Linked DNA regions of Caenorhabditis elegans. The protein of the gene in region 1 purifies or fractionates together with the protein of each later gene. This does not show direct contact. Each region holds a gene or a part of one and is shown in the gene's direction. Other genes may lie near its edges.

What was found.
Region 2: the proteins of wdr-23 (region 1) and xrep-4 purify together in Caenorhabditis elegans (affinity purification with western blotting, with the first as the bait; one study listed by BioGRID). This does not show direct contact.

Annotation. Positions count from the first base shown.
Region 1 is NC_003279.8:7,594,533-7,602,594, forward strand, and holds wdr-23 (DDB1- and CUL4-associated factor 11 homolog), read left to right. Parts: upstream 1-1,974; 5' UTR 1,975-1,993; coding exon 1,994-2,078; intron 2,079-2,137; coding exon 2,138-2,214; intron 2,215-2,481; exon of another isoform or gene 2,482-2,641; coding exon of another isoform or gene 2,642-2,680; intron 2,681-3,763; coding exon 3,764-3,904; intron 3,905-4,289; coding exon 4,290-4,539; intron 4,540-4,588; coding exon 4,589-4,835; intron 4,836-4,893; coding exon 4,894-5,104; intron 5,105-5,621; coding exon 5,622-5,801; intron 5,802-5,878; coding exon 5,879-6,089; intron 6,090-6,748; coding exon 6,749-6,855; intron 6,856-7,164; coding exon 7,165-7,371; 3' UTR 7,372-7,689; downstream 7,690-8,062. Other genes in the region: D2030.8 (PC-esterase domain-containing protein 1B), read left to right, coding at 1-43, 90-170; C2 domain-containing protein aex-1, read left to right, coding at 7,792-7,890. UniProt on the Caenorhabditis elegans protein: Involved in regulation of lifespan. Required for dopaminergic CEP neuron degeneration in response to Mn(2+). Inhibits the skn-1-mediated up-regulation of tatn-1.
Region 2 is NC_003279.8:5,616,092-5,620,701, reverse strand, and holds xrep-4 (F-box domain-containing protein), read left to right. Parts: upstream 1-2,150; 5' UTR 2,151-2,288; coding exon 2,289-2,319; intron 2,320-2,369; coding exon 2,370-2,440; intron 2,441-2,511; coding exon 2,512-2,616; intron 2,617-2,664; coding exon 2,665-2,744; intron 2,745-2,809; coding exon 2,810-2,906; intron 2,907-2,989; coding exon 2,990-3,447; intron 3,448-3,499; coding exon 3,500-3,609; intron 3,610-3,706; coding exon 3,707-3,840; 3' UTR 3,841-4,104; downstream 4,105-4,610. Other genes in the region: cey-2 (CSD domain-containing protein), read right to left, coding at 207-576, 624-934, 978-1,100; trpp-8 (Trafficking protein particle complex subunit 8), read left to right, coding at 4,322-4,567.

The DNA of each region.
Region 1 (8,062 bases):
ACCAACTCCGGGTCATTTTATAAATGGCAATAATCCTTATAGAGTTCGTATGATGCATATTTTAAATTCTGAATTCATTCTAATTTCAGATCGCCGACGCCAGTCCACCTTCGTCAAGTCAGTATCGAAAACGACGTCGCTTCTCCGGATCTCGTCACGAATATCGTTAATCTATGTGTACAATGTGTTCCCAACGGGTGTTAAACAGTTACATGTAATATGTCTCAGGCTTTTTACTCCGAAATTTTATTTCCCAACATTTTACAAACCATTATTTGGTGTAAAATTTTATTTAATTGTTTTCAAATTCTTAAAAATTACTAGTTCCCGTTCAAACTGAACAAGAGATAATAGTAATTTTAATTATTCATTAATGAACTCACAATTTGTCAGTTTCTTTAAAAACTCAATTGTGAAGAATGATTTTTCCTCGTAAATTCGAAAAAAATACTTGGAACTGCTCAAATCTTAAAAAATATTTGAAACACAATTTTTCTAACTTTCTATTTTTAATTTAACATGTCTTCTAAAAGGCTCACAGGCTTATTCAGATGAGTCTCGGTGCACAAAAATGTATTGTAGTTTTGTGCCTGCTTCCTCGGATCTTTTCCATGTAAAAGATAAAATAAAAACGAGGAAACTTTCATTAAAAATGCCAGGAAAATAAACGAAGCTGCCGCAAAAATTAAAAAAAAAAGAATACCATAAATTATAATGCGTGCCGAGACCCATTTGAATAAATGCATGCGCCTTTCAGATCGCATGTCAAAATCTTATAAACGTACGATAACAACTTTTAAATTGTGCTAAACTTTCCTTAAAAATATAAATTTTCCGAAAAAAAAGAAAATTATACAGAAGAAAGTTATAGCTAATAGATGAAATCAATTAATGAACCTTCTTAACTTGATCTCAAAGATCCCTTCCATGGAATAGAACGAAGAAGTCATTCTCATCATCTTCCTTCCAACTTCTCCACCACTCAATGACTACGTCGTACCTCTATACTCTCTTCGTTTCATTCACTATCTTCATTCTCCACATCTGTCTCTCCACACATAACACTTTCGCAGTTAGCCTCCTCGCGGTGAATTGTCATCATTTTTGTCAGCGTGCTGTGCAGAGACTTTGTTTTCTATAGACACAGAGATCGGCTACGCGTTCATCTTTTTTTTTCGCCTGCTGGAATTGTTTGAGTTTCTTGTGAGTGTTTGTGTGTCTCTCTAATATCATCATGTGTTTTATCGAATATTGATTTTTCGTTTCAATTCTTTCGGAGAACGAGTGAAAGACGCGTGAATTGTTTCGCTTTCTGCGTCTACACCGAGCCGGATGGGAAGCCCTGAGGTTCCCGTAAGGGTCAAAACGAACATTTATTCAATTAAATGATGATATTTAATATAGAATCAGTGCCTATTCATGTGAAAGTAGTTTGAGATTTCCAATCTTTTTATCTAATAACATTGTTTGTTAATTATGCAACTTCACAAAAGTCACGTTATCAGATGATCACGTGTTTTAGTGATGCATAAAGCAAAAAAAGAATTTATTGAATAGTTTTCTGAGCAGTTCGTTTAAAATTACTCTTATAATTAAGAATTTTCAAAATGGTTGTTTTCACTTTCTCAGTGGGCGGAGCCTACTTAAGAGGCAAAGGCATCTAATTCTTGTGGAAATTTTCGCAGTATCAATAAGAAAAATATACAGTAGATATTATATTTAGAGACTTGAATTTCCTGCTCTACCAATTTCTTGTTTACCACTTTCTCCTGCCTCTTTCTGATTTCCTGCTTAGTCGGTGCTTCCCAGTAGTCAGCCATATCAACCCTATCATTCAAGTCTCCCTTATTAATTGTCATCAATTTCCCTCTTTACTCGTGTTTTGATGACAATCCCTCACTCATTCACATTCAACCGTCTGTAGTTTTGTGTGTGCTGACAAAATCTGAAAAAAAACTTGTTCTCTCGCTACAGTGCTTCGCCCTATGCTCGAATGGGCAACTGGATAACGTCGACGTTCCTCCGATTTGATCTTTTTCAACGTCATCAGCCCAACCGATTTCTCGAATATACAAGAGGTAAGCGAGAAGAGGAAGTGAGATGCTAGTCACAAAAACTACAAACCACATGTTTTCAGTCCAACACAGCAACCAAAGTCCGGCGTATTCCGTGCGGACAGCTGCAGAAATCGTGGCTCATCAAAGGATGAAACCGGTAGGTTTACTTGATCCATAGGGATATAATATGAAGTTAAGCGAAATTTAAAATGCTTTTGCAAAATTAACATTTATAAAATGTCTATTCATTGAAAATATAAACTCAAATTAAAAGCAAATTATCCTGAAAATCAATAAATAAAAATGTGTAGCGAACACATAGTATGTTGTGTCGTCATTTGTCATCACAAAACATACAAAAAATCAACTGATTCTTCCGCAAGTGGGTGGAGCCTGACAGCCCGATCGCGCCAATCGAAGAGGCGCAGACGGGCGACCTGTCTTCTCTGATTTCCCTCTTACACTCTCATTCTCTCAATTTTTACCGCGCCTCCCTTCCTTTTAGGCCCAAATTTTGCTACATTTCTCTAAATTAATATTATTTTTGTCTGAAAAAACGAATCTTCATTTCGTATTCAACGTCTATGCCTTACAAAAGACATTCCTCTTCAAATCTGAAAAGGGTAAGCTTTGTTGAGTAAACCAATAAAAAAAATGATGCGGAACTTTGTGTTCACTAGAGTGTAGTAATCGGCGTCAATCGATTGACGAGAAACTGGTTTTTTTTAATCGAGATCGTCTAAATTGTTTTGTTTCTTCCTTCGTTTCCTTTGAACTTTTGATCTTTGGATATGACCAAGATTTATCAGGAATTGATAAGAGTGGATTCTATTTGAAAAGTATGTAGTTTCATTGTTTGAGTTGATGATTTTATAATGAATGCAGTATAGTTTTGTTATTTCGAAATTTGATAAAAATTATAAATTAACAGATAAAGACTTCGACTTTCGCTAAAAATTCCATATTTTGCTCTATTTTAGCGGTCTAGCTTTTATCAGAAATAATAAAAGAAAATATATATGAAGCTACAGATAAAATAATCATATACATAGTTCCGTGTTGAAATTGCTCTATAGTCATTTGATTTCTGCAAATTTAAGCATATTTTGTAGGGATGATCATTTGAAGCTTTCTGAAAAAAAAAATGATGACAAACTTCATCTCACTGAACTTTAAGCTCAACATTAAAGATCATTTGAATTGGTTTGTACTATAAGTTCCATTTTTAAAAAGAAGATTTGTCAGAATTTTTGATGACTTTGAGATTTTGGGGGACTTCAACTATAAAAGCCTACAATTAAACTACGAATCATACAATTCCCACCATTTATTCAAGAATTCTGACTACAAACCATGAAGTCTTCTTTTCGTTTTATGCAATTGGTGACCCATGATGACAATTCGCTCCCCCTCGACCTACAGTAACCGCCCGTTGCCTCCCGTGGCTCCACCCTCCTCCTTAACACATTTTCCCGATGTTTAGGAGCATTTTGATGAATTTTTAGAAATTTCATTTCCTTCTTACAAACTAATTCGATTCGTAATTTGAAATTCAAGTAAACTGACTGACGCAACACGGGTCTTCTCTTTCATCACTCAACACGCACATTCATTGGTCACGTGTGAAATACAACAATGCAAAACTAGCAAATGATCTGTTCACTAAATGATATTGTTCGAGTATCTAACCTCATTTTTAATTTCAGAATCACAGCAATGACAGTGACACAGACTTCTCGTCGGACGATGAAGGATGTCCGAAGATGACACCACATGAGGAGCAGCAAATGTTTGAAAGGGAACAACATATTGCATTTAGTGGAAGATGTCATATTGGAGATCCGGAGGTTTGTTTCAATTTCAAAAAAAAAGATTTCAATATTTTATTGAAATTTATATTTTGTAGAAAAAGAGTCGAATTTTACTAAAATCTGAAAATTTTTTGAAAAAAAACCCACAACATCCCTATGTCATCACAATTACCAAATTTCATAGTCAAACAAAATTCAAAAAAAAAAAAAAAAAGAATTACATATATATTCAAATCCACAAGAATCCACATGAGTGCCCTCGAATTCTTCTAGAACCGATATTACGTATTAATCCACATATTGGACTAGATTCGTGCGGCAAGTAGAGAAATCTTCAAATAAAAATCAACCATTTTTCAAAGTCTCAAAGCAAAAAATGACGGATCTTCTGCAATACATCATCAATTTTCTGGATTTACAGAGTTGCACCCAACTTCGTAATGAAATTAATTCTCGTTGTGGTCCACGTCCATCAACATCGAATAATATGGAATTCATCCTCAATCGAGACCTTCAAAAACGTGGAACATCGATCTCAAACCCGCGAACTGTTGCTCGTGTTCTCAATTCACATTTACCAAATCAGAAGCGACGTGTCGATCGAGTAGCGACAAAATCATTCTGCACGCAATATATTCAAAATGGAACGAAAATCGTGGTGGCAAGTCAGGGTGAGATATTTTTGATACGAATTCCCAAAAAAACAATTTAATATTTCAGACGAAAAGATTCGATTCTACCAAAGAAATCCAGACAAGTCGAAATACAGATCAAAATATATGAAATCTGATGAACTTCGTGTTGATCAATGTGGTTGGTCGATTCTTGATACAGCGATTAGTCTAAATGGAGATTTAATTGCTTATGGAACATGGAAAGATGCAGTTTTTGTTGGAAAACTCGACTTTACGGAAAGACAAAATATCACATGGTTTCCAATTGATTTGAATGGAGAACCAGGAAGAGAGTGAGTACATTTCACAGCAAAAAATAATTGTATTAGTACAATAAATTTGATTTTTCAGTCACTGTGCAGTCTTTTGTGTGAAATTTTCGGATAGCAGTGAACAAATCGTGTGTGGTACATCACAGTATTCAATTCACGTATTTGACGTCGAACAACGGCGGCGGATTCGTACAATTGTGAATGCTCACGAGGATGATGTCAATTCGGTGTGCTTTGCGGATCTTGGATCAAATTTGATATATAGTGCAGGAGATGATGGACTTGTAAAGGTATATTTCTTTGAATTGTTTCGAGAAATCTTCAGAAAATCCTAATCTGTGATTTTTTTAATCAAAAGTCATTCTGAAATTACCAAGACTAGAAAGTTTGCTCCAAAAATACTGTACTCGGTCTCGACACGATACTTTTAAATGAAATTCAGAAGCTGTGCGCTTTTAGAGAGTACTGTAATTTCAAACTTTTGTTGCTACGGAATTTTAATCGATTTTTCATAATTTTTCTTTCGATTTGTTACAATTTATGTGTTTTTCAAAGTAATGCACAAATTTTTATCGATGAGACAAATCGATGAAAATCGATGAAAAATCGATGAAAATTCCGCAGCAACGAACATTTTAAGGCAGGTACCGTATCTTTTGCGCGAAATTTTGCATATAAAAATTTATTCAAAGTTTCTCAACATGACATTGCTTGCATGCCATTTTGTCATTAAACCCAGAAATGTGTATAAAGTTCCAATGATGACAAATCCGTATCAAAAAAAAGTTTCTAATTTTTGATTTAAAGGTATGGGACAAACGTGCATGGTCAGATGGAGACGTAGAGCCTGTTGGAGTATTTGCTGGACATCGTGACGGAGTGACACACGTGGATTCTCGACAAGACGAAAGATATTTGTTGAGTAACAGCAAAGATCAAACAATCAAAGTTTGGGATCTTCGAAAGTTTTCGAATATGTCAGGAGTGGTGAGTTGAAAGAAATGTTGAAATTATTTCGATGTAGATACAACAATAGTCTTGTATTGTTTTGTCTCCGTTTATAGGAAGCTACACGTGCGTGCGTTCAGAGTCAACACTGGGACTATCGATGGCAGCCTGCACCACCTGGATTATGTCAACCTGTTGCCGGAGATACGTCTGTTATGACACTACGTGGACATAGTGTTCTGCATACATTGGTTCGAGCGAATTTCTCACCGGAAAGCACTGGACGGCGGTATATTTATACGGGATGCGCCAGAGGCGAAGTTGTTGGTAAGTCACAGGTTACTTTAAAAACTCAGAATTGTCACAAAAAACGAAAAATCGTGGAAGGACTTTAAAAAACGCGATATTCCAACTCTTTCCTATCTTCATTTTTGAATTCACTCCAAAAAGAAATGCCAGTCCAATCAGCGATTTCCACCGCCCATTTTTGAACCAAGCTGAAAATGTTAAATTGGAAGTGTTCTCCATTGTGGCAAATTCAAACAGAAATATTATTACCCAGACGTGAAATTTGCGATTTTTGGACCAAAAATACAGTAGCCCGGTATCACCTTTCTTATGTTAAATACAATCAGATATGCGCCGTTAAAGGTTACTGTAATTCCAAACTTTCGTTGACTTTTCATACTTTTTCTCACGAAATTAAAAATTGCTTCTATTATTTCTTAATTGAATTGTTTTTTTATCGAAAAGCTCGACGAAAATTCGCGTCTTGGTAATAGAAACAATTAGAAAATTGCAATTATTAGAGTAGTTTCTCTTTCGTTTTTTTTGTACCATTTCAGCGAATCAGAATATTTTCGACTAATTAAAATAAATTTTCCGATTGATAGTACCCCACTTTTGAAACTGTTATTTATTTTTTTGTAGCAAACCAAATTGATCAAAAAATTTAAAGTTTAAGTATAAAATTCAATGTTTTTCAGTATACGACATAATGAGTGGTACAGTGAGCCGCCGCCTGAAAGGTCATACAGCTGTGGTTAGAGAATGTGATTGGCATCCAACAGAGAACGAGATTGTTAGTAGTGCGGTAAGTTTTTGATCTGTGTTTTGCTTTTGTTGTGGATCACAAAGATCACTACGACCGCATGTTTTCCCCATTTCTTATTTGTCATCATTTTTGCATTGGCGGGCGTTGGTCTCGTTGTTTTCGCCTGAAAAAGCAGGATTCTGATTTATAATTGGACTGACATTTAGTAGTGGGGCTCAGGGAAGAAACCATAATTAGTATTTTCGAATTGTGTAATCTTCAAAATATATACCTTAGCCTTACATGAAAGACTAATTACTTTAAGTTGATTACAATTTGTCCCCTTATCTAATTAATTCAATTTTTCAGTGGGACGGAGTGACAACAGTCTGGACATGGGATGAACGTCAGGAAGGAGTCATTGCACCATACGATCATCCCAATATTTCTCAGTTTGGCGACGAAGATTCGTGTGATGAGCTCTTCCAACCTGTCAAAAAACAATGCCGTCGTCAACGAAAAACCATGTCTTCACGTGGACATCCGTGCTCATCGAGCAGCATCTCTCAAAATTAAGACTTGTATTTACTCTGAGAACTTGTAAAATTTGATTTATTTGAAACTAGGTTTCTTTTTTCTATTACTTGTTTCATCCCATCCATTTTTGTTCTCAAGCCTTTCTTTTATTTTACCTTTCCCCATCCATTTCCCCCAAAAGTTACGGTAGGCTTCTCGAAACGACTCGCCATTTCATTGATTCATTTGATACGGAGTTTGTACATAATAATGCGGTTATCTTTTATCCCCAACCAGTCAAATTTCCCAATTTGTTAAGAATATAATTATATATAGATCATAATAAATAATTAAACAACCAAATATTAAAAAAAAATCATACTTTTGCTTTGAGCAACTTGCGTCACACTAAAATCATCATCAAGCAACTTTTAACATTTTTAAAGCATTAGTTTTCCTTATCAGTTATAGTCTCTTGAAATGAGGGAAGAAGCGCTCGAATCGATTTGTGCAGCACTTTCTATTAGTTTTACCGAGGATCCCGATCATTTGGAGTCTATTATTGATCGATTTTCAGAGGTAGGCTATGTAGTGGCCGGGTTGCCAAAAAGTTTAAGAAGGGATATTCAAGAGTTTCGAAAATTTAAAATTGATTTTTGGCTTCATATGGAGTTTTAGTTTTACCTTTTTAATATACATCAACCAATACTTCCTACTGATTATTTATTGAAGGTATTGAAAAATATTTTAT
Region 2 (4,610 bases), 2.0 Mb from region 1:
ATGATGAGTCATTGTTATGAAATAAACATTCAATTTACCGGTAAACGGTTTTATTGAGAGGTTTTCTCATTACAAGCTGAGGCAATGTGGCATTGAAGAACAAGAGGGATAGGGACTTACAATAGCATGCATAAATTGGGAATATGATAAAGTGTACTATGTATATGTACAAAGGTACAAATTTGAGAAATAAGCATTAATGGATCTTAAATCTGAGCATCGATTGGCTGGGCTCCTAGGCCGGCTTCTCCAAGTGCAGAGTCGCAACGGTCAACCTTGGAAAGTCCAGCTTCCTCTGTGATGATCTTGGAACAAGATTTGGAGTCTGGAGAAGCAACGTCAGAAGCAGATTCGGAAGATTCAGTGACAGCCGATGAATCAGCGGCATCACCAGCTCCTTTCTGTTGGGCCTTCGACTTGCGATTTCTGTTCTTGCGTTGCTTTCTTGGCTTTTTCTTCTCAGCATCCGCCGACATCTCCTGTGGCTTGGCATCGGTCGACTGGGATTCCTCTCCATCGACAGAAGCTCTGGGCTTGCGGTTCTTGCGGAAGCGAGAGAGAAGCTTGTGGCGGTATCTGTAAAATAGGATTTAAAAACTTCCATGGTCAATATAAACCCTCACCTCGATCCAATGACATTGTCTCCGTTGGGTCCTGTTACGTTAGCAGCTTCTGGGCCATTCTTTCCCTCGACGAGATCGAAGAGAACCTCTTCATCGTCCCCGAGGGTACGGAGGTAGAACTTTTCAGTGGCTGACTTGGCAATGGCTGTCTGGTGAACAAAGATGTCCTTTTCGCCATCGTTGCGAGAAATGAAGCCATAGCGACGGAGAACAGAATACCATTTCACTTTTCCTTGAAGTCCGGTGGTAATGGCTGTCTTCGACTTCTGCTCTTCTTCCCACAGACGGATGCGCTCAGCAGTCGGCAGACGCTAAATTAAGTAATTACTAAATTAATTTAAATGTGTAACATACTCTTTTACGCATCTTCTCTTCGCTGTTGCTTGGCGTTGTCTTATCTTGAACAGAGAGCTCTTCGAGCTTCTGCTCGAGAGCTTCCTCTCCGATTTCGACAGCGGCGTTTGCGGTGTCCGACATAGTCGTAAATTTGGTTGAAGCAAGTGAGGTTGACTGTAAGAGGGTAACTTTTAATAAGTCATTAAACAAAAATTGGGTAAAGATTAAAAAGAATATTTAACAGAAGCTATGTGCTCATGCTCAAAAACGTAACCAAAACTAAAGTCGAAAATCAGCAGCAAAAAAATTTAGAAATGAGAAAAACAGCTCACGGCGCGTGAACTTCAAGCTGCAAAATCGAAATGAATGTTTTGGGCCGCGCATCTGCGAAGCTAATGGGTCCCGTACTACAGTAACCCGGTAACCTGCACATCTAACTTCGCGCGGTGTTTCAAACGCAATGCATGGTTAGGAAATTCCTAAACAATTTTTGGATTCTTTTCGTCAAATTTGTATCAGATTGTTTTGCAATATGCTATTTTACTATTTTCTATCATTTTGTCATCACTGTCTTGAATTTTTAAACGATTGTTTAACTGATTGATATGGATAGTATTGTTGGTATTAAATAGTTTATAATAATCACTGAAATTCTAAAATATTTCATTATTTAACATTCCCTCGTAAAGCGTATTATGATTTTTTGAAAGTTACGGAATTGAGATAGAAAAAATGGAATTAAGTTCTAAAGTTTAGATTTTCTCAATTGTTTTCCAGTTGTTTCCTATTGTGACACTCCTTAACTTTCCAATTTAAGGGAAATGTCTCTTTTTTATACATTAAGAGATTACTTTAAGAATATAAAAACGCTTTAGGCCCCGTGTGACAATCTAAATGTGTTTAATCCTGCCTCCAATTAGTACAACGAGTGTTCATTATAAATGTTCAAACGAATTCGGAATTTCTATTTCCAATTTTGTTTTTTTAATGGTGACTTTAGTTAATGTTCTCCGTGATGTTGTTCATGCTTTCTAAAAACTAATGTACTCTGCCCTTTCCAGAAATTGACGTCATAATACTCGCACAGTACTCTCAAAAAATTGATTTTCAAATCGTCCATTCTCTCCAACTTCATTTTCTATCCTCCACGTCTTTTCTGTGCATCCTCATTTTATATTGTGTTATTTTCATGTCTCTGATCGACCTGCGCCATTGATATTCTTTCTCAAACGGCCTCTCTTTACATCTCTGGGTCTCTTGCCTCTGGGCGTGAGGTTCCCGTTTTTTCTGCCGATTTTCTTCTCTTTCCGCTGTTCCATTCTACTCAAAATGGCACTGGAAGAAATAATGGATTTCGAGGGTTAGTTAATGCTTAATAATGAAGATAAATCTGAAATTGCCAAATTATAGAAGAAGAGGCTGGATGGAAGCACTTGCCACGAGAAATACGCAGAAATATTCTCACTCGACTACCATTCCCAGTAAGTGTTGCGAAATCATTTTGCTCAAATTTCCATCAAATCAGTTAGATAAAGAAAAAATCCGTTTGCAGGATAAACAAAACATGATGTTGGTCAGCTGGGAAAACTCTCAGATATGCTCAACTCTTCCAAATAAGCTTCACGAACTCGGAATTACGGAGCTTCCCTCTACAGCTGTTAGTTTTAATTGAATTACTTTGTTTATTCAACCCAGTTATTTTCAGAAAACTATTCTGATAATGAAATGGAAAAATGAGATTGGAAGAGTTGTGAGCAGAATGGTGGAGTTTCGAGGAACCTCACTGTGAGTATTCTTTGTTCAAAACTTCAAATTAAAAGAGAAAATTCAAAGTCTTAATAAATGTTCAGACGTCAAACTGAATGCCCCGATCATACTGCAGAAGCTATGCGAGCGTTTTTACGTATTTGGAGATTCTCAAAAATTAAGAGTATTGTCATCGAAATTGTAAGTTGTGGTAGAGATAGATTGGTTTAAACCATGGCTTATCAGCTGTAGTATCAGCTAACAAAAATTCAATTAATTTTCAGCCATGTTTCGAAGGATTATCAAGCATCTGGGAAGAAGGAATGGCTGAAGTAAAAACAAATATCGCCGTCCGAAGTTTTAACATCAGAACAAACGACTATCGTTTAGTAACAAAAGCATTGACAGCTCCAAAAAACAAAGGACAAGATATATCATTGTTGGCAAATGACCACGGAGGAATGGAAACTGCAGTATTTGACATTGACAAGTTCAAGTACGCCCGCAGTGTGATCCTTTGGTCCCTGGTCAGCAACATTCAAGATCATCAACTTTATTCTTTATCTGCACACAATATTCGTTTACACAGTGAATTCATTACATCCAATTGCATTGCCAAAATGATTCAGGAATGGAAAGAGGGCAGGAGATCCCTGGAACGATTGCATATAACTTCGCCAATAATTGATTTGGATACAATTGTGAGACAAGTGCTTGGCGTCTGCTGGAAAAATATGACTGAGTACGAAGATTCTCCGATAAAGTATTAATATGATAATGAGTTGAATTTTCAGCATTTGTTCAATTATTTGGAGAGAAGTAGACGAAGAAGGGTATTCATATGCGGTGCGTGGACCAACATATGACATTCCTGCAGCAATTGGAATAATTCCGAATCAAGATGGTAAAGATTCTCAAAATCTAGTAAAACTGATTAGTTTCGAGTTCAATATACTAAGTAGAAGATCTATCAAGAACTGAACACACAAATATTCTTTCAGGTGTTCCAACATTCATTTTCCGCATAATCCGGATGACTCATGAAATGTCTCGAATTGTCTACGAAAGGTGTTCAGTGCAATGCCCCAATATGGTCAGCTCAGAGGATCTTGCAAGACAGCAGCAAAGAGTTTAATATTAATTATCTTGGTCTTAACTTTTGAAAACCGTCTTTGGTCCTTATTATCAGATTCCCAAAACGTTGAGTTTAGTATTGTGATCCCCATCTACTCGAATTGCAGGTTTCCAGAAACTTTGTTTTATCCCGTCAGAATGATGTAACGTTTCCAATTTTAAATATGGAATGTTTCACAAAAACTTTCCATAAAATGTTTGAAATCGTCCACAAACACATATGAATGTACACTATTGTAAATAAATTTAAAATAAACGTTGTCCTCGTTTTTTTGAAATATTATCCTGAAATAGTTTTTGTTATTGTTGAGTTCCAGATGTTTCCTAGACATTACCATATCTCTGGCTGACATGTGAGATAACTGCGATATACCGATGTGCTCACAGTTGCTCCAAACTTTGACAGACTGATATTACGAATAACTTGTTTCTTGCTAGAATTTTGTCTATAAATTTTCAGACTTCAGAGTGGCTCAATCTGAATGTCATCAGTGTCTCCGAGTCCTTTGATCGCATTAATATCATCTGAATGCAGTCAAAAACATGCTCATAATCGTGGATTCAAGTCACTTTCTCATTTTATCTTCCCATTCACATCACACGAGTGCCAAGTTCGCGAACCAATCGATAATTTGAAAGCTTCACAGAGGATTCGATTAGATATTCGTGATATTTCGAGTGACGGGCATCTTCTTACACTTTCAGTATTGCCATATGTACTTATTCAGGTAAATTTTCATTAACAAGAAAAAACAGGTACTTGATTTATAA